2 linked regions of the Nothobranchius furzeri genome follow. The protein of the gene in region 1 interacts with the protein of each later gene in a pairwise test. Links are inferred from orthologs where the notes say so. Each region holds a gene or a part of one and is shown on either strand. Other genes may lie near its edges.

Region 1 (9,520 bases):
TTTGAGGAGCTCCTCAATCCCACCAATGCGCATTCCGAGGAGGAACCAGAGCTGGGAGGCCTGGGGATGGACTGTCCGATCTCGGGGGCAGAAGTTGCTGAGGTAGTCAAACAACTACACAGCAGCGGAGCCCCGGGGGCGGATGAGGTTCGTCCTGGGTATCTCAAGGCTATGGATGTTGTAGGGCTGTCATGGTTGACACGTCTCTACAACATTGCGTGGTCATCGGGGGCAGTTCCTAGGGAGTGGCAGACCGGGGTGGTGGTCCCCATCTTTAAGAAGGGTGACCTGAGGGTGTGTTCCAACTATAGGGGGATCACACTCCTCAGCCTCCCTGGAAAGGTCTACGCCAAGGTACTGGAGAGGAGGGTCCGATCGATAGTTGAATCTCAGATAGAGGAGGAGCAATGTGGTTTTCGTCCTGGCCGTGGAACTGTGGACCAGCTCTATACCCTTGCAAGGGTGATGGAGGGGGCATGGGAGTTTGCCCAACCAATCCACATGTGTTTTGTGGATTTGGAGAAGGCTTATGACCGTGTCCCCAGGGGCACCCTGTGGGGGACGCTCCAGGAGTATGGGGTGGGTGGCTTTCTGTTAAGGGCCATTCAGTCCCTTTACCAGAGGAGCGTGAGTTTGGTCCGCATAGCCGGTAGTAAGTCGGACCTGTTCCCAGTGAGGGTTGGACTCCGCCAGGGCTGCCCTTTGTCACCGGTTCTGTTCATCACTTTTATGGACAGAATTTCTAGACGCAGCCGTGGTGTGGAGTGTGTCGAGTTTGGTGGCAGGAGAATCTCGTCTCTGCTTTTTGCGGATGATGTGGTCCTCCTAGCTTCATCCAGCTCTGACCTTCAGCTCTTGCTGGGTAGGTTCGCGGCCGAATGTGAAGCGGCTGGGATGAGGATCAGCACCTCCAAATCTGAGACCATGGTTCTCGACCGGAAAAGGGTGGCTTGCCACCTCCGGGTCGGGGGAGAGGTCCTACCTCAAGTGGAGGAGTTTAAGTATCTCGGGGTCTTGTTCACGAGTGAGGGTAGGAGGGATCGGGAGATCGACAGGCGGACATCAGATTAGGGTTTCACACAATTCAGCTAAGAAATACCTAAAAGTGGGATCTGGTGTTGGAACAGCCAATGGGAAAGGGAATACTTGGTTACGTGCAAACTTGAAAGAAGGTGATATAATAAAGGTTTAAACTGCTGTTTAAGTTATAGTACTCATGTATTCAGGGCAGGGCGGGAGTTAAAATAGTAAAAATGGATCTTGAAACAGTTATGATGCACTACAACAGAAAAATATGCTGCTTTATGAAAAAATGCCACAATATTTAAATATTTGTTTGATGTGACATTTAATTAAAACATTACATAATGAAATATTTTCCATCCATGAGAGTGTTGTTTTCTTTTACTTCAGGCAACAAAACCAAGTGATGAGAGTCAGCCAGTTCCTTTCTGCAGAACACAGTTCTTCTTTACAATCTCTGAAAGAATTCAGCATTAAATACATCCGCTTCCTGCTTTGAGCGCACCAAAATTGTCCACAATTGTCCTCAAGGGAAGACTGAGCTTTTATTGTAAATAAAGGTTTGAGTCATTCAACAAATGATTTACTACGTAACTTAAAGACCAAAAGTGTTTGTCTACATTCATACGGAAACAAAGCAGCTCATAATACGGACTCCAAAGCTACTGGAACCATAAGTGATTTATAAACTGTCTAAAACTTAGTCACAGTTCCGAATTTTAAAAATGCTGTTTCAACCATCGTATTACAGCTATCAGTGAGACTTAGGCAACAAACCGGTTACGCCACTCCCTTACTGTAAGTTGGCTTCTGTTTCTGTGGTTGTCAGTTACATAAGAGCAACTCTGACGTTCAATGCAGCTGTTTACTTTGGACCAAGAAACTAGAGCCCTGCACGGGCCTAAAATCTGAGCCCGTGTCCGGCCCGGCCCGAGGGCCTAGGCCTTCAGTGCAGGGCTCTACAAGAAACTACCCTGACAACATGTTTGTCATTTATGAAGCCACTTAACTCAGTGGTGTTAATATTCAAGAATAAAAAAAGGCATCACAAAGAATGGCAGTAAAAACAGCAGATAGCTTGGCAACAAAACAAAAAAAACTTCGCATCAGGGTATTTTAAGGGTCTGTATCACGAGTCATCCAATGGACCATACAGAGAATTAAACGCAGTGACTTGTTACAATGACAGATAAAAGCAATCCACCGGTACAAATCTTTAAACCCAACGAGTCGGGATGATTCCGTCAGCAAAGCAGTTACAGTCGCACAGAGTCGTCTTCTCATGCTCATTAACGTGTTTTAAAATCACTGAAAGAAATCAATTCATTCATTCATTCATTCATTCATTCATTCTGTGGGGCCAAAGTTTCTCCAAACGAAACCCATCCACCACAGGTGATGGAAGAGGACAGACCAGTTGACGCGTGGGGTGAAATAAAATGTTGTTCTTTTATTTTCTTACAGCTCCATCTGACATTTGTTCCCATAGTCAATCAATTCTTTCTGTAAGCTCCAACATAATCTAACCTGCTTCAGCACGGCCCAAAACTGTTTGCCCCTGTCTCCATCCAACACACCTGTGCCCATGTGCACCATGATTAAAGAGATGGAGACAGTGACTTGTTCAAAAGTTCAGTGGGTTTGCCTCCATCTAGTGTAAAAACCAATAACTACACCTTCAGTTAAAATGGCTCCCACACATTCATTCATTCATTCATTCATTCATTCATTCAAATTTGTAATCTTCCTTCAAAAGATTATTCAAATTAAATGCATTATTGGCTCTTGAAATAGGAGTGGGAGCTTAGATTTCACCTTTCCAGTACCTATATTCAGAGGTGTGGACTCGAGTCACATGACTTGGACTTGAGTCATTATTTTAATGACTTCTGACTTGACTTGATAAAATCTATAAAGACTTATGACTCGGACTTGAACACCAATGACTTGCGACTTGAATCGACTTGCATCTGTTGACTTGATGATAACTTGAGCATATTTGATATTTTAGCACAAAAATTGCATGACATGAACAAAAATCATAAATCATTCTTCGTTCTGGGTTTGATCTTGTTCTGCTAACTGCAGCAGCTCTTTGTTTATAATCAGTTTCAGTTATTTCTGCTTGTTTCAGCAAATAAATGAAACTTTAAGAAGCTTTATTTCTGGAATTTATTTATTATCATCGTCATTAAACTGAAGTTGGACAGATGACTTGATTATGACTTGAAAATTCAAAGTTAAGAACTTGGACTTTCACATCATTGACTTTGGACTCGACTTGGACTTGGTTGTCTTTTACTTGGACTTGACTCGAGACTTGACTGGAAAGACTTGTGACTTTCTTGTGACTTGCAAAGCAGTGACTTGGTCACACCTCTGCCTATAATACAGCTTTAAATCTCATTCCTAAGCAGTTACAGTCTAGGTCACACCTTCCTGCATCTAATCAGCATAATGACTCTCTCTCAATAGAGGCCAATGACTCATCTGGGGATGGAGAGGCGGGGTACTCAGAGTAGTTTCAGCTCGTTAAATAACAATAGGCAGCTACAACTTTTAAGCTTGACTCTCCCAGTTGGAATTGAAAAAGCTCCTCAGGCGAGAAGTGAAATGTCTTCAAGAAACCAAAGGAGTCCAGTAGCCTTCATTTTAACCCTTTGGTTGCATTTGGATATCACACCATTCAGTACTAAATTTACGCTGCACTACCCCAAATGCTGCGTTTAGAAAGTCCAGAGTTTAAATAATGGTGAATAAGTAAATAGCAATGTCATCAGTATACCAGTGAAGAGCAACAATTGAAACAAAACGTTATTGATGAAAAGCGTGCAAGTATGGAGCCCTGGGGTACACATTTTGTGCAGGTAGAAGGAAGAAAAAGAGCTAGATAGGTCAATGAATACTGCAACTGTACTTTTTACGGTCTGAGCCACAGTTATATCTTTAACTACCTTTAACAGAAGTGGTGCTGTGCTATTTGTGAAAGCCTGCTTGACAGATATGGTGCCAAAATACCATTTGTGTCTAAGAAATCTTTAACCTTCGCCAGAACACAGTCTAGACATTGGTCTGTAAATATTGAAAAAATGGCCCAATCTCCAGAACAGAACTGACTCGCGTCGTGTGATCAATTTCATCATATCCAGTACTAAAATGATGTGTTGGTTCAATCTGTGGATGTGCACCGACTTATTAGTTTTTACAGATTTTCAAAAGAACCAAGAGCCTGTTTTGGGCTATTACCAAATATTTCAAGATTGTTGCAGCAATGTTATCTGAGTCATTCCAATGCTGGATTTTGACACATCACTGCCTTTCTCACTTCCAAGAAGAATTTAGATTTTTTTCTTTCCCATGAATTTGACACTATTTGGAAATAGTTATTACTTCATCAGTCAGACAACTTTATTGATTGGTATCCAACAGATCGAAATCAGCAGCTCATTTGTAACAAGTCAGTCCACATTCACTTCAAATACACATAATAAATCATAGTTGTTAAAAATTAGAATGATTACTTATGGGAGTATTTGCATTTATTCTAAAAGTCATTACACGTTCGTGCCTAAGTGCGAACCCTTAGGTTGGTGCTCCCTCTATTGGAGAAAATAATGGGTGCTTTGGCAGTAATTACTAAATTCTGACAAAACAAAAAAGTACTCACGCATACTTTTTATTTTTTATTTTCAATATCGATTGTGGTCACGTGATAGTGCTTGAAGCGTAATACTGGCGTAATAATAAGATATAAATAATAAAAGAACAGCTTGTAACAGCATTGTGTTCAGGCATTATTCAAGAATCCTCATTGTTTGCGTTGACTTGAGCAAGGACCCCAGGATGTCCATGCTCGCTGAACGTGAGTAGCGTTTCCTCACAAATGTGTTAAATGTTTCGTTGTTTCTTTGTGTTACAAATAATTTATTATATAATATATCGCTGTAAAAGCCCACAAACAAATACGTTGCATTATTACGCTAGCGTATCTTGTTTTTATGTCAAGTTTCTTATAAGTATCTGGGTAGTTAGCATTAGCTTGTCAGCGGTTAGTGACGGTAGCGCGTGTCGGCCTTAAATCCGAGTTTTTGTGACTCGTCTTCAGGTCATTTATGATCTAATGCATTGTTCGTGACTGAATTATTGTTGTATTTAATTGCGTGTTTGCTCATCAATTCTCTTGCTTGTAAACATGGTGCTGTAGTTTCATATAATGCTGTTGCATTGTTTTAGCCCGCAGGAAACAGAAGTGGTCAGTCGATCCCAGGAACAGCGCCTGGAGTAATGACGACTCGAAATTCGGTCAGAAAATGCTGGAGCGAATGGGCTGGTCCAAGGGCAAAGTACGTCTGATGAACGCTTGTTTTTTTCCTGTACATTAGTGTATCTTAACTTTCAGAATATTGCAGTTTGCAAATAGTGTTGCTCACTGAGAACTCAGCCTTAAGAGTGGTTTAATTTGACTCTGAACTGTAAATTATGTGCTGACAAAACCAAAAGCTACAGTAATATTACACATAATTTATTGTTTCAAGTCAGAGGACTCCAAAGCGCTTTACACTACAGCGTATCATTCAGCCATTCACACACGCATCCACTCACTGATTTTGATGAGCTACAATGTAGCCACAGCTGCCTTGGGACTCAGAGGGAACTCAAATGTATGAGGCAGGTAAATCGTACATTTCACCTGTAACCGTGCATGCCACGGCCAAATACACATAGCAGAAAGCCTGGTTTGGAAAGCTTCGGTGTCTCCATCACTGTTGAACACATAAGATTGCATTGATGTTATTGTGTAACAGGATAATGCCAGGACCATTTAAACTTAGGAGTAGGGCTGGGCGATATGGCAAAAATAGAATATCACGATTTTGATTTTATCACGATTTTTTATCCATGAATAGTGTAACACTCCTGTGTAGGCGATTACAGGGGAAATAGTTATTTGAACTAAGGGTTGGACCAGTATGGATGAGGTAGGTTCGACTACTGGAGCAAATTTAGGATTTGAGTAAAATTAAAAGAAGAAAGAGACCACAGACCAGAATTAAACTGCCGGCTTATTATTTGTAATAGTAAGTAGACTATACACGAACAATAAACACACAACACAAATTTACATTTGGTGACCCCTTGTTAAGATTTTTGGAATTAAATGGGTTAAGTGGTTTTTTTTCTTTTAAAACCCGTATTTTGGGATTTAACACTTAATTCTAATTTGGGATAGGTTGCAACCTTTCAATAGACTCTAGTTCACGTTATCTGGTTTTTTCTATTTGTCCCCTTTTTAAGTTCACTCAATTAGAATAAACCATCAAATTCAGCTCTATGGTTCCAGCAAAACCTTAGTTCTCTTTGACCCACGTTAATAAATTTTTTCGCAGGTATAACCCTTTCATGGAAGTAACCTTGCATAGAAAAAGATTTACCCTTTTACCCGTATTCAAGTTCCCACAATCAAGTAAAACCAACCAAAAAAAAACTTTACACAACCAAAATAATCCAGCAAAAGGCTGAACACATGTGCAGTTCACAGTCTCTAGTCTCCTTGTCGGTGATTCTGAAGAACAGTTCGGCTCTTATTGAGTTCAGTGCCTTCCTGAAACAAGAAATAAAGCAACTCCCACCAGTGTTTGGAAGACCTATCCAATGTTGGTGAAGTCCAGGGCTGATTCAGCAGAGGGAGGTCTGCTGGCGACTACGGCTCAGCTCGCGAATCCATGGGTGGCCCGCCATCTTAGCTCTTCACGTGGTTCCCGCGGTCGAGTTTAGGAGGTTGTTTTCCGACCCACACTAAAAGGCCTAGCATAACAAAATATGCATACATGAATAAAATGAGGCACCAGGTAGTGCTGAAATAAAACCCAGCTTCTGTCTCATTTGTGCCGATGAATATGCAGCTCCTTCAAAACGGACAGAAAACGGCAACCGCCGGCCGTTACATTAACAGCCCTTCTCCCTCCAGCACTCACCATAACATGCTTCCCCATTTCACCCAGTCACTACTTTAGCGCCACATTTACATGAAATAATAGTTACATTACACATCTTTGCTTAACTAAAATTATACATTTCTTTTAACTCACCAAGTCCTTTTCACAACTTTACAAAACGTCTCCAACTGGAACAGATTGGAACATCAAAAACGTTTCTTGCTGTATTTTTGGTCACAAAAGGAAAATTCGCCTTAGGCAATTTCTTTTAACTCTTCAGCTCTCCTTCTCTCTCGCTGCGGTAGCTCTGCGTGCTGCAGTAGTTCTGGGTGTTGCTGCTCATCTCCCTCGCTTAGCTGCGACTAAGCAACCGAGCGATCCGGTTGGCTGTTGCCAATCACATGGCTCGCACAACATCCGTTTACAAAAATAAAAGTCTGATGTCTTAAAAGTCTGATCAATAAAAGTAACATTTCTGTAATATAAGTTTTTTTATTTGTTTAATTTATTTTTAAACAACTACAAACTATATTAATATAATTAAAACTATCCTGAAACCTGGGTTACAACAGCATAACTTCAATTGCGTATTAAAGAAGAGAAACGTTGAATAAATAAACATTTATTCATATTAGGGATAATCAGCACAGTGCTAACATACTTATATTTTAAACTCACACCAGAGATGATAAAAGCCCTGAGAGAAACAATTACAAAAATCAGTTTTTCTCGTTTTTCAAGTAACTTAACATAAATTAAAATCGTAAACATATTTAAAGTGCAAACATGTCAATTGCAAATGTATTGTGCAAACATTAACTTGTTCAAAATACTATGTAGCTCCCAGCTGCTCATGTAGTGGATAGTTAAGCTCAAATACGTCTCTGATGTGCGGCTGGACCTTGTGGTAGCAAAAAACTGCGCATTCTGAATATTTTCTGCAACTCTCACTTTGCATTCAGCGTACATGCGTGGAATGGCGGTGTTCGAAAAATACTTGCGGCTGGAAAACTCGTAGCGCGGATCCAATGTTTTTATCATTTTCTTAAATCCCACTCCTACTGTTCGCACGGGACACAAATCTTTAACCAAGTGGTACGTCACTGCATCGGTCACGCTGTTTCATCGTCTGCTGTCTCTCTCGTAAGGAATGAGTTCTGTGTTTCTGTTAGCGTTTGCTGCCAGGAAGAAGCACTAGCCGCTGCTGCCGCAGGCTTTTTAGCTTTAGTTGCCAGCTGGCTGTCATTGTATTGTTTGGGATGCCTTCTTTTCAAGTGATTAAACAAGTTTGTGGTGTTGCCATCACTTGCCTTGATGCTCTCCTTGTAAATGACGTTTCGCTGCTCTTTGTCATCTGGTGAAAAACCAACCCAGTTCCATATAATGGACGAGGCGTTCCTCTTTGGAACGAAAACCTCGTTGTCGCTCTCAGCCGCGGCCGAAGCCATGTTTGTTCACACACAGGTGAAAACAAGCGGGGCATTAATATATTACTATGACTCACTCTGATTGGTTAAGGGTCAAACAAAGGCGTGTCATTCACCTGAGGTAAGTTCCCGTTTCATTCAGAGGCAGAAATTCAACAACAGAGCTGTGAATCGTGAAAAAAAGGTCTCTCAAAAATGACAGACCGTCAGATGTGTAGATCGTAAAACGGTCTAAAACCGTCATATTGCCCAGCCCTACTTAGGAGTTATACACTCTTACTGCAGAGAGGATGAATGACCTCCGGTAGGATTCTGTTTTACATTTTGGATGTCTCAGTCTGCCAATAAAATATGTAAAATCTATGTAAAACAAAAAAAATGGAAGGTCTGACTCTAATGTTTCATATGAATTTGCGTTACCCAATAAAGTAAATAACTCACTCACATGAAATCATGTCAGAAAACCCTTTTTCTCTGTATCTTCAGGGTCTGGGGAGGAGTGAGCAAGGCTCCACCGACCACATCAAAGTAAAGGTTAAAAATGACAGCTATGGGTTTGGAGCCAACGCCAGTTACGAGGTGACTACAGTTAAGAGACAAGTTTATTTATATCGAAGTAAAAAATATATTTATCATTTGATTCCTGTTTGGCTTTTAGGTCTTTTGGATACTTCTGCAAAATAACAGGAAAATAAAAATCTTGTCCTATAGTTATTTTCCTTTTTGTGTTGCTGAGATCGTTTACGTTTGCAGGACAACTGGATTGCTCACCAAGATGAATTCAATGATCTTCTTGCTCAGCTGAACGGTCACCATGGTCAAAACACCACAGATGGTATGTACCAGTTTACACTGAGTTAGTTTTCTGAATCTGTCGGGTGTGTTTCAGCTCAGCTGTGCTCCACTCTACTAACTTAAAAATGTTTTCGTTAGACTCAAAGTGGTTCACATGGTTTTACTTACTAAGAGTTGTTGGACAGCAGAGGGTGCTACAGTTCAACGTTTTGTAAAGCATATGCCCAACCAATCATTATTTCCATGTTCTAAATAGAACACACACATACTTAAACAAGTAGTTAATGCTGGTTTTGATTTTGGCTTCTTCTCTGTAGAAACCCCGTCAGAGGAGAAGAA
Region 2 (9,729 bases), about 7.2 Mb from region 1:
TTGTAGGGGGAGTGGGAGGTGACAATAAACACCGGTGCACCATTTCCAGGAACTAGAAGTGAGCCACATCACAGCAGAGCTGCGGACTGCAGGTTTTGGAGTCATACTTTCTGACATTTTACTTTAAATCCTATTTTATATATCTTTCTTTTTGCACCAAGTACCGTAGCAGTTTCCTATTGTGACTTTTTGCACATATGGCAATAAAACCCATCTGATTCTGATATTTGGGCATCTCACCTCTGATTGGATACAATCAATGTAAATCTACCACTGACTCCATTTGCTTTGCAACGTTGATACTTTATCTTCACAAATAACACGGGCCTTTAACCCAAGACCTCAAATGGGAGCCCACCATCACCTCTGTCACAACTAAAGCCCATAACAACAGAGGATGTACTTCCTGAGGCAGCTGAAGAAATTCAACCTACCAGTACAGTTGATGAGGCAGTTCTACACCGCAGTCATCGAGTCCATCCTCACCTCTTCAATCACCGTGTGGTATGCTGGAGCTACCACCAGGGACAAGAAGGAGCTGCAGCGTGTTGTGCGTTCTGCTGAGAAGGTCATTGGCTGCAAACTCTCCTCCATACAGGACCTGAACACCTCCAGGATGTTGAGGCATGCAGGTCGGTAACAGCTGACCCGACTCGCTCCCATCTGGCAGGAGGACCAGAACCTCTCGACACAAGAACAGTTTCTTCCCTTCTGCAGTTGGTCTCAAGAACGACAATCCTAGGGCTGCCCACTCCAGTCGCTTGGTTTCAGTCACATGACCCTGTGTTGTTTGTACCTGAACTGATCCGCTCTGATCAGTACCTACACTGTCTTGTATATAGTAGCCGTTTCTCTAATTATTGCCAGTTTATATTATTATTTTATCAAGATTATATTCTTACCTCCTATATTTACTTATCTCTTATTTTTATTGTTCTTTTTGCACCAAGTACCGCAGCAATTTCCTAATGTTTTGATTTCTCGCACATACGGCAATAAAACCCTTCTGATTCTGAAGCCCGAAGGAGTTCTGCCATGTGGTGATGTAGCTAATGCTAATGGTTAGCTTCTACTAGCTAACATGTTCTCTGCTGTTTCCTGGAAGCTAAACCAACAACAGACTTGTTGCTGGCCTAGCAAGGCGCCTTGACATTGAGAAGCACCCTGCATGAAAAACTCGAGAGTGACGGATTATAATCAGAAATAAGATATATATATATATATATATATATATATATATATATATATATATATATATATAAACAATGTCTGTAAGGGTTAAAGAAACGTTCCAACAGAATAAATGAGTGAAGATCAAAGATGGATGATTCATTTCTATGAGTTTGGCGTGGATGATGAGAACACACCTCTCACCTTTCCTTTCAGTGATGAGCGTCTGCCGCCGGGCCTTCATGTCCAGGCTCAGGTTCTCCACCATACGGTTGATGCAGTTGTCCAGGGCCAGACACCGGGTCTGGGACTCGATAGCCTGTCTACAGATGGGACACTCGTTTTTCTTCTTGCGCCACAACTTGATGCAGTAACAGCAGAAGCTGTGAGCACAGTTCAGGATGACCGCCTGTACAGGGACATTTTTTTTTAATTTCAGCAGGTGAAGTCGGGTTTTTGTGAGTAAGATGATCCCAAACAGGTTCCTGGCTCTACCTCGATGAAGAGCTCTGAGCAGATGATGCACTGGAGCTCGTTCTCCAGAACCTCTGTGACTTGTGTTACTACCTCCTCCTTTTGGGCTTTCGCCTTTTCTTTTTCCTCCTGGAGGAAAAAAAATATGAATCAAAGTGACAACCAAGGTAAAAATGTGTGTTTTAAAAAGTGTCTTTCAGGCACCTTTGTTTCTTCTAGTTCTTTGTTTTTCGCAGAGAGGATTTCTTCAAATGTTTTTCGAGAGTCGGCAAGCTCGTCGATCACTTTCTTTTGCTGTTTGTTGAAAAAACAGGCACAAAAAAACTTTTTATTACATTTAATCAAAAACTTAAAGAAATAAACTAAAAAACTGTTAGTTTAAATTAAATGTGTTAACAGCTTTTAATTAGTTTAATTGAACCTTCTTACTTCCTGAAGAGCCTCTTCAAGTTGTTTTTTCATTAGCTCCTCTTGCTGCTGTGTTTTCTGCTCCTAAACGCATAAAAGACAGACGATTCACTTAAATTGAAACTTTATTTTTATGGACATATATATTTTTCTAATTGTAAATGCAGATGAACCTTTTGATTCACATATGTCAGAACAAGAAGGGTGAGGAACGTGTTACTTTCCATATGTGGCGCTTTTGTTTGAAACCCCAAAAAAGATGCTCAATATTAATATGCTCTGGAATATTAATATCGATATGGAATATGATGCAGAAATGTAGCTCTTTAACAGGTTTTGTTATGTTTAAGATCTTTTTTTTGCAACGTTACCAAGATTATTTAAAGTATGGCTGAATCATTTTGAAATGTGGAGAATTAAAAGTTAAACTAACGCTGTAAAATAAAGCAATTGCGGGTTGGGGGAATGAAAATGTAACGATGTTTCAAAAAGAAAAAAAAACAACACTCCTGACCTCCAACTGTCTCCTTGTTTTACTGAAGGTTCTCTCTAAAGTCTTCATTTGACACATTTTGGCTCTAAGGGTTTCCAGTTGACCCTGCAGCTCACGGACCTGCTCCCGTCGGAGAGGATCTGCCCGCCTGGGTTCTCCTCCAAGAGATGATACCTGCTTCTGGGTGTCATCCACCTGCTCCCGTAACAGCAGGAGATTCTGGCTGTACCTGCAGGTTATACATTAATATTTACAACTTTTACACAACAGAACATCAGAATGGACAACTCCTAAAGAGTATTATTTTCATTAAAAGTAGAGAGGAGTCTGTTTGAATATGTGACACATAATTCAGCAAATGTATTAAATAAAAGCTTGTAAAGGAGCAGTGTCTTTGGTTTGATTGAGAACCTTTTTTACGAGGAGTCACACTTTACCTCTGCAGGTTGTCCACTTCACAAGGATCACTGGATCCATCAGAGTGCTGCTCTTGTTTTTGTGTGCTGGATGCCGTCTCCTCCAGGTGTGTGTTACTGAGCCGCTGCTGGCATTTCACCGCAGACAGAGGACAGGGTTTTGCAAAAGATTTCCCTTCTGAATCGCAGCGGTACAGCTTAGGCTTTGATGTAGAAGGCTCGACTTCCTCCACAGTCAACTTCCTTTTGGATTTTTTGGAGACTTGCGGCTCTTTAGCCCAAGTTCTACATGCCTTTGCCAGGTACGGCTGAATGTTTCTGAGCAGTCGCCGGATGAGGATGTAATCAAATTCTACTTTGGTTCCTGATAAAGGAACTCCAAGTCGGATCGAGTCTCCAAGTTTGAGCAGGTAAGGTTCATCGGCAGAAATCCGATTTCCGTTCACCCAGACACCATTGAGACTCTGTGGAAGATAATTAATAATAATAATAATAATAATAACTTATTTACTAAGATTTAACTTGGTATTAGCTGCTGCTGTTAATAATAGCCCCATCATCTGTTAGAGATCAATTTTAGGAGAGTTAGCTCAAGAAATAAGGCTACCTTTTTGTCTACCACTGTCCAGTGACCGTCTTCTATCTGTCTGAAGGCACAGTGCAGTCTGGAGATCATGAGAGGACTACTTGAAGACAGCAGCTGGTAGGTGACATCCAAACCACGTCCAACAGTGATCTGAGCAGTCAAAAACAAACGTCAATTTACAGTTTTTCCATATAAACAGGGTCCACTACGCCGTTAGAAAAAACTTAATGAATAAAATGGCATGCCTATTGTATGTATACATAGCACAATCCTGAAAATGATTTTTTTTAGTTAAGCTAACATTAGCAAACTGTACCTCTGCCTTTTCGAACAAACGAAGCCAGTCTGATTTTTTTCCGACTCTCATCAGACACAAGACCTCCGAGTCCGAACATTCACCGTCCTCAGCCGAACATGAATCCGCCGTTGCACTATCCATGTTAAGCCATTCTGTCACAGGCCAAACACTCCGCTGTTGTTGTGTCTTATATGTATATGTCGATGTGTGTCTTCCGTCACATAACTGCTACATGCTAACGCGGTAGCGATCCGGGAGACACCGGAAAACGGTACAATTCATTTCGAAATAAAAGCGACGGGAAACTGCTAAAATAAATATCAATGTTTTATTTATTATTTCTTGTATAACGGCACGTATCACGTGTTGTAAATCTTTTGAACAAGGCAAAATAAATAAAAAAGTATGAATAGAATAGGTTTCTGGGATACGTTACTCTTTATTTATTGACATTTTTAAACATGAAAGTAACGTTAAAAAGTAAATGCTAGTATTTTGGATGATAAATATTTTAATATATTAAATATATTTTTGCTTTATGAAGTTTAAATTTTTTTTAAAGCAATGAATTTTTTTTATCGAAAATTCAAATTAGAGCACTTTGTTGTTGTGATTTGTTCTCAGTCAGGCAACCCAGCACCCTAAAACGAGTGCACCTAACCCCGGGGCGGGACTTCCTGTCTGCACCGGAAGTCCCAGTGTTGAACAGGCAGAAAGGGCTTGGTCCGTGTGTCACCGGTCTTATCCGCGTATGTCTGGACGGGAGATAACCAGGCTGCCGAAGCTGCGTAAATAAATCTCCACCTCGGCTATGCTGCCCTGAGAGCGCCGCGAGTATCCGCCCCGCCAAAATGTCTGATGTCAACAAGACTATTCAGAAATGGCACGCCAGTTTCAAGAAAGGCACAGACTTTGACTCGTGGGGACAATTGGTAGAGGCTATAGACGAGTACCAAATGTGAGTTACATTCAACATGTGTGTCTTATTTTTGTACGATTGAGTGTAAACATCTGGAACAGCGAGGACGGCTTGTTTAGCTTTTTATTTTTTTGCTGTCTTAAAGCTTGTCAGCTCTTAAACCTGCAGAAGTTAGCCTCGGAGCTGTCAGTCAGCCCCCACAGCAGTAAATAAACCCTTCCCATCCATGACGTGATGTGGCATTGTTGCAGAGGCAGCGGAGTCCCATCCCATCTTCATTCACAGAGGGGAGAAGAACAAAAAGAAACACCCAAAGCTGAATGTCTTGTTTCTGAGCGTTAGGAGAAGAGAATAACCAATATTCCTTAGAGTGTTGGGAAACAGTCAGCCACACCCTCTCATTGTTATGGGTGGGTTTCGTGTGTTCAGTGAGGAAAGCTCTCTTGTTCTCTGAGGAGATCAGACTCCGCAAGTTATTTCAGGATGTGATCATGTTTATGTAATAATTCATTTTAATGACACGTTTTAGATTTCTTTAGTGCAGATAGATGACTTGACAGTGTCCCACGTTGACCAAAAGGGGGCGCAGAACAGCCCACTGATGTGACAAATCGTCTTGGAATTGATTGATTAACCCATCTAACTGTTCTCGTTAATCCAGATTAGCAAGGCAGCTGCAGAAAGAGGTCCAAAATTCAAATTCATCAGATTTCACAGAAGAGCAGAAGGTAATAATTGCATCAGTCTGCAGGCTAAACTCGCCTGCTTTGCTTCAAATCACAGCATCTTGTTTCTTTCTGGACATTCAGAAAACCTTAGGAAAGATTGCAACATGCCTGGAGATGAGAAGTGCCAGTTTGCAGGTTTGTGTTCTTACTTATTTCTCTTTTTGTATGATAGTGGACAACCAGACTTAGATGTGTTTTGTTGTTACTGTGAACTTTTGTTGTTATTGTGCACTTTTCTGGCTTTAGCGTCATTATTTTCAATATTTGTATGGCAGTTTGTCAGTTTTGCATCATGTTTTGTTCTCCTTTTGCAGCAGTTTGTGGTAATTTTATTTCCTGTCTGAGTTTTTGTGTTTGAGGTTTGTAGATTTATGGATTTTTTTTTCATCTTCATTGCTTTGTGATACAATTCTAGTTGTTTTTTCACACTTTCCCGTTTATGTTGCAGTATTTGATATATTTATTTTAATATAAAGACCCTTTCCAACTAAAAAAATAAAAAAAAGCACAAAGGGTGATTAAAATCCTTCAAAACTTAATTTCTGAGCATGTGGCGATCATATTCATGTATTTATTACCAAAGTAAGACATGAACGTAAATCTTTCTCTTGAGTTCTGATCTTTTCCTGTCTGTGTGTCTCCTCAGTGCACACAATCACAAGAAGAGTTCAAGTTAGAAGACCTGAAGAAACTGGAAACCAGTAGGTTTACAGCTACTCATTTTGCAGGAGTTGTCGTTAACGTTCTAACCATCCTGTTTCTTCCAGTAATAAAGAACATCCTCAGCCATAACAAAGAGTTTCCCTTCGACGTCCAGCCAGTGCCATTAAGGTAACATTTATCTTAAAGCTTCAGAGTTAAAAAAAAGGGTTAAATATTTACAGGGGAGTGTGTTGCTATGGATACAGAGGGAAAAAAAGAGAGCATATTTATTGATATAAAGGAAACGGAAAAAACAGCTTTTCCAATGATTTCAGTCGGGTGATGCGACAGGTCTTTTCTCTCCATCAGGAAAATCCTGGCTCCAGGTGAGGAGGAGGACCTGGATCTGGAGGAGGAGGAGGATGCACCTGCAGGAGCCGGTTCTACCGAAGCGTTCCCACCTAGAGCTCCCGGTACTCTCGCTGCTCGATCTCGTGTGTTGTGTCTCAAAACGTCCGTTTGACCGTGCATGTTTCTGTTCTCTCTGTCGGCGCTGTGCTGCATGGCTTCTTCGTTCATCTCTGCCTGCTTCCTCTGCAGCTTCTCAAGGTACAGATTTGTGTGAACACGAGTCCTGATTTTGTCAGGATCACGCTGTGGGTTGTAAAGCTTCTTTCAACAATCTCAGATACAATAAAAAAACACTGAAAACACTAACTTATCTGTTTAGGTACTCTGTTGCCACGGTTACCTTCAGAACCTGGGATGACACTACTTACTCTAAAGATAGAGAAGATTGGGTTGAAGGATGCTGGACAGTGCATCGATCCCTACGTCACCGTCAGTGTCAAGGGTACTGCATCCTGCTGGACTTCGGTTTCGGTCCGTTTAGTAAAAACAGTAAAAAAAAGAAATGGGATTGTTTTTGCATTCTGTCCTCCAGATGTGAACGGTGTGGACTTGAACCCGGCTCAGGACACGCCTGTGGCCACCAGAAAGGAGGACACCTACATTCACTTTAGCGTCGACGTGGAGATCCAGAGACACATAGAGAAATTACCAAAAGGTAAGCGCAGGCGCTAGTCGGGCAGAATGAAATCCGTTCAAATAAAACAGGAAATGGTTCCGCCTCTGCTCAGCAGCGGCATAGAGCCCTGAAAAATCAAAGCAAGGCAGCTGCTTCCTTCATTTATCTAGAAAATAGATGGTGATCCTTTCATTTAAGTGGCAAAAAGTTTTCACAGAGTCCCTTGAGGTGGTACTTTATCTGTGTGCACTCAGTAAAAGTTCCAGATATCCAGGTGGGACCACACACATCATATACATGGATACCCTGTGAGCTGGTGTAACAGCCGGTCGCCATCTTGAATGGGTCTCCGTTCGCCCCCAGTGCATTTATTTTTACTGAGGAATGTGTTTACACAAAAACACATTTTATGTCTTTTCACAAAACCAAACACATTGTATAGTTAAAAATATCACATAAATTGGGCTAGAAAAGTTAATAGTAATCCCACCTGTTCTGTTTTCAATAGTACGCCGGTTGTTACAACCGCTGGCTGCAAAAAAAAAAAATCGGGCATTGTTGCTAACTGCATTGACTCCAATTGGGTTTGGAGAGTGAAGAACCCACTCAATATGGCGGCCACACTGTTACACTCTTACTCACAATGGGGTGTTTATGTATACATGCCTATGGGTGGGACCTCTCTCCGGGGAACATTCGCGTTCTCCTTGTGCGTGTGTTGGTGTTTCCTCAGGTGCGTCAGTATAAAAAACAAAAACAAATCCAGACTTCTTTACTTCCTTGTCGTGAGCGCTTCATCAATGCGAGCTAGTGCTCAGATCCCTTCTGAGGGTTTTTGACGTCTTGATCTACGTGTAGAACATTCTGGTTGCGTTCCTGAAGGTGTAGCTTCCTGTGAAACTGACCGGGGATCAGATTTAGAGCTGCATGGTTAGTTTTGGCGAGTTGAAACCGAAGACAACCTCCTTAATGTTTTGACAAAGATGTTTTTTTATTTTTAAAGAAAGTAAAGAAGTCCAGTCACTCTAGGATCACCACGCCCTGGACGACTAAAACCTTCACCTGCAAGTTTGCAGGCGAACGTTTTCGATTCAAACTCAAACGCAAAGATCTTTGTGGGTTTGGTTCAAACTTTTTTCTCTGCATCAACCTGTTTCTGTAGCTTCTGCCGGTTTTCCACCAATCTATTTTTCACGGATTCTTCCAGGAGCGGCTATCTTCTTTGAGTTCAAGCACTACAAGCCCAAAAAGAGGTTCACCAGCACAAAGTGTTTCGCCTTCATGGAAATGGACGAGATCAAACCGGGACCGATCGTGATCGAGCTGTGAGCATTTCTCAAAGTGATTCGAAAAAGAAAGTAAATAAAATACGAAATAAAATTCTTATTCTTGTTTGGATTTCAGGTACAAGAAGCCGACGGATTTTAAGAGGAAGAAACTGCAGCTACTCACGAAGAAACCACTTTATCTCCACCTTCATCAGACACTACACAAGGACAACTGACTCCTCATCAGCAATACCAAATCCAGGTGGTGGTGTTTTCCACGAGTATGTGAACAAAATAACACTAACTGATCTGGATGTTCCTCACATGCAGCTCAGTAAAACCTTATAAACGCTGTTTTATTTTATATTTTAACAACTTGTAGCACATTAAAGCCGTCAAAACCACCTCATGTTCAGTCTTCCACCTTTAGATCCGATTTTTCTTTTTTAGGGACACTGGTGAGTTTTAGTTTGACTTTGCATAACTGGACTCTGGACTTTAAACCAAAAACCAGCCAAACATTAACCCCTTAGTTGCCATTTGAGAGGGAATAACCAATATTTGCACTTTTATTACAAACGAAGGAGATTTGTTTAAAATGACCCATCTTAATTGTTTGAGGCGCTGATGCCATTCAGCTGAATTTTTTTAATTAACCTTAGGATTTGTGGAAGCTAAGGGGTTAATGTCAGAGCCAGAAGTGTCCTAAACTGTTGATTTAAACGCAAACATCAAGCATTTGTCATAAAGTTCACCATATGTTCAAATTGATTGCCTCACAATGGCTTTGAATCATGAATTAACAGATTTTTAACTGGAATTCAGGTGTAACAACAGTTCATGAATGTATTTTTGTGCACATTTAACATCTTTGTATTGTTTTGCTTTAACATCTTTAGTAACATTTCTGTAGTGGCTTTAATTTATCAACAAATCTTTTTTTTATGTAAATTTGGAGGAAAAAATGAACCCATCTGCTCATTTTAACGTCATCACATCTTTTTTTTATTAAAACATTTTAGCACTAAATAATGGGATATAAATGAAGCCATCTTTTTGTTTAATTTTTTCAAACAACCATAAATACAAATGTATCACTAAACAATTCCCGCCAAACTAGTTTTTACTGGTTATAAGTTTGAATCACGTTTTTATATGTTCGTATACTGTATGTGTGTTTAATTGAGTTGTACTACATGTATTATAGTACCTTAAATCATTTTAAAGTATTTAATACTCAGCAAATGTTTCATAAATAAAATAAATGCCCTGCGAGGACTTTAATGTTCTAATTCAGTAT

What was found.
Region 2: the proteins of pinx1 (region 1) and aida interact in binary tests that used the Homo sapiens proteins (3 or more experiments, as listed by UniProt). The link is inferred for Nothobranchius furzeri from reciprocal best matches to the Homo sapiens genes PINX1 and AIDA.

The regions. Positions count from the first base shown.
Region 1 is NC_091742.1:1,141,582-1,151,101, forward strand, and holds the start of pinx1 (PIN2/TERF1-interacting telomerase inhibitor 1), read left to right. Parts: upstream 1-4,774; 5' UTR 4,775-4,866; coding exon 4,867-4,885; intron 4,886-5,256; coding exon 5,257-5,366; intron 5,367-8,872; coding exon 8,873-8,974; intron 8,975-9,139; coding exon 9,140-9,221; intron 9,222-9,498; coding exon 9,499-9,520. UniProt on the Homo sapiens protein: Microtubule-binding protein essential for faithful chromosome segregation. Mediates TRF1 and TERT accumulation in nucleolus and enhances TRF1 binding to telomeres. Inhibits telomerase activity. May inhibit cell proliferation and act as tumor suppressor.
Region 2 is NC_091742.1:8,354,298-8,364,026, reverse strand, and holds aida (axin interactor, dorsalization-associated protein), read left to right. Parts: upstream 1-4,558; 5' UTR 4,559-4,696; coding exon 4,697-4,803; intron 4,804-5,425; coding exon 5,426-5,492; intron 5,493-5,573; coding exon 5,574-5,627; intron 5,628-6,138; coding exon 6,139-6,193; intron 6,194-6,259; coding exon 6,260-6,323; intron 6,324-6,503; coding exon 6,504-6,607; intron 6,608-6,734; coding exon 6,735-6,743; intron 6,744-6,864; coding exon 6,865-6,987; intron 6,988-7,077; coding exon 7,078-7,200; intron 7,201-8,368; coding exon 8,369-8,486; intron 8,487-8,565; coding exon 8,566-8,665; 3' UTR 8,666-8,833; downstream 8,834-9,729. Other genes in the region: E3 ubiquitin-protein ligase rnf8, read right to left, coding at 1,375-1,579, 1,666-1,773, 1,849-1,938, 2,074-2,136, 2,567-2,774, 2,983-3,425, 3,569-3,697, 3,864-3,986. UniProt on the Homo sapiens protein: Acts as a ventralizing factor during embryogenesis. Inhibits axin-mediated JNK activation by binding axin and disrupting axin homodimerization. This in turn antagonizes a Wnt/beta-catenin-independent dorsalization pathway activated by AXIN/JNK-signaling.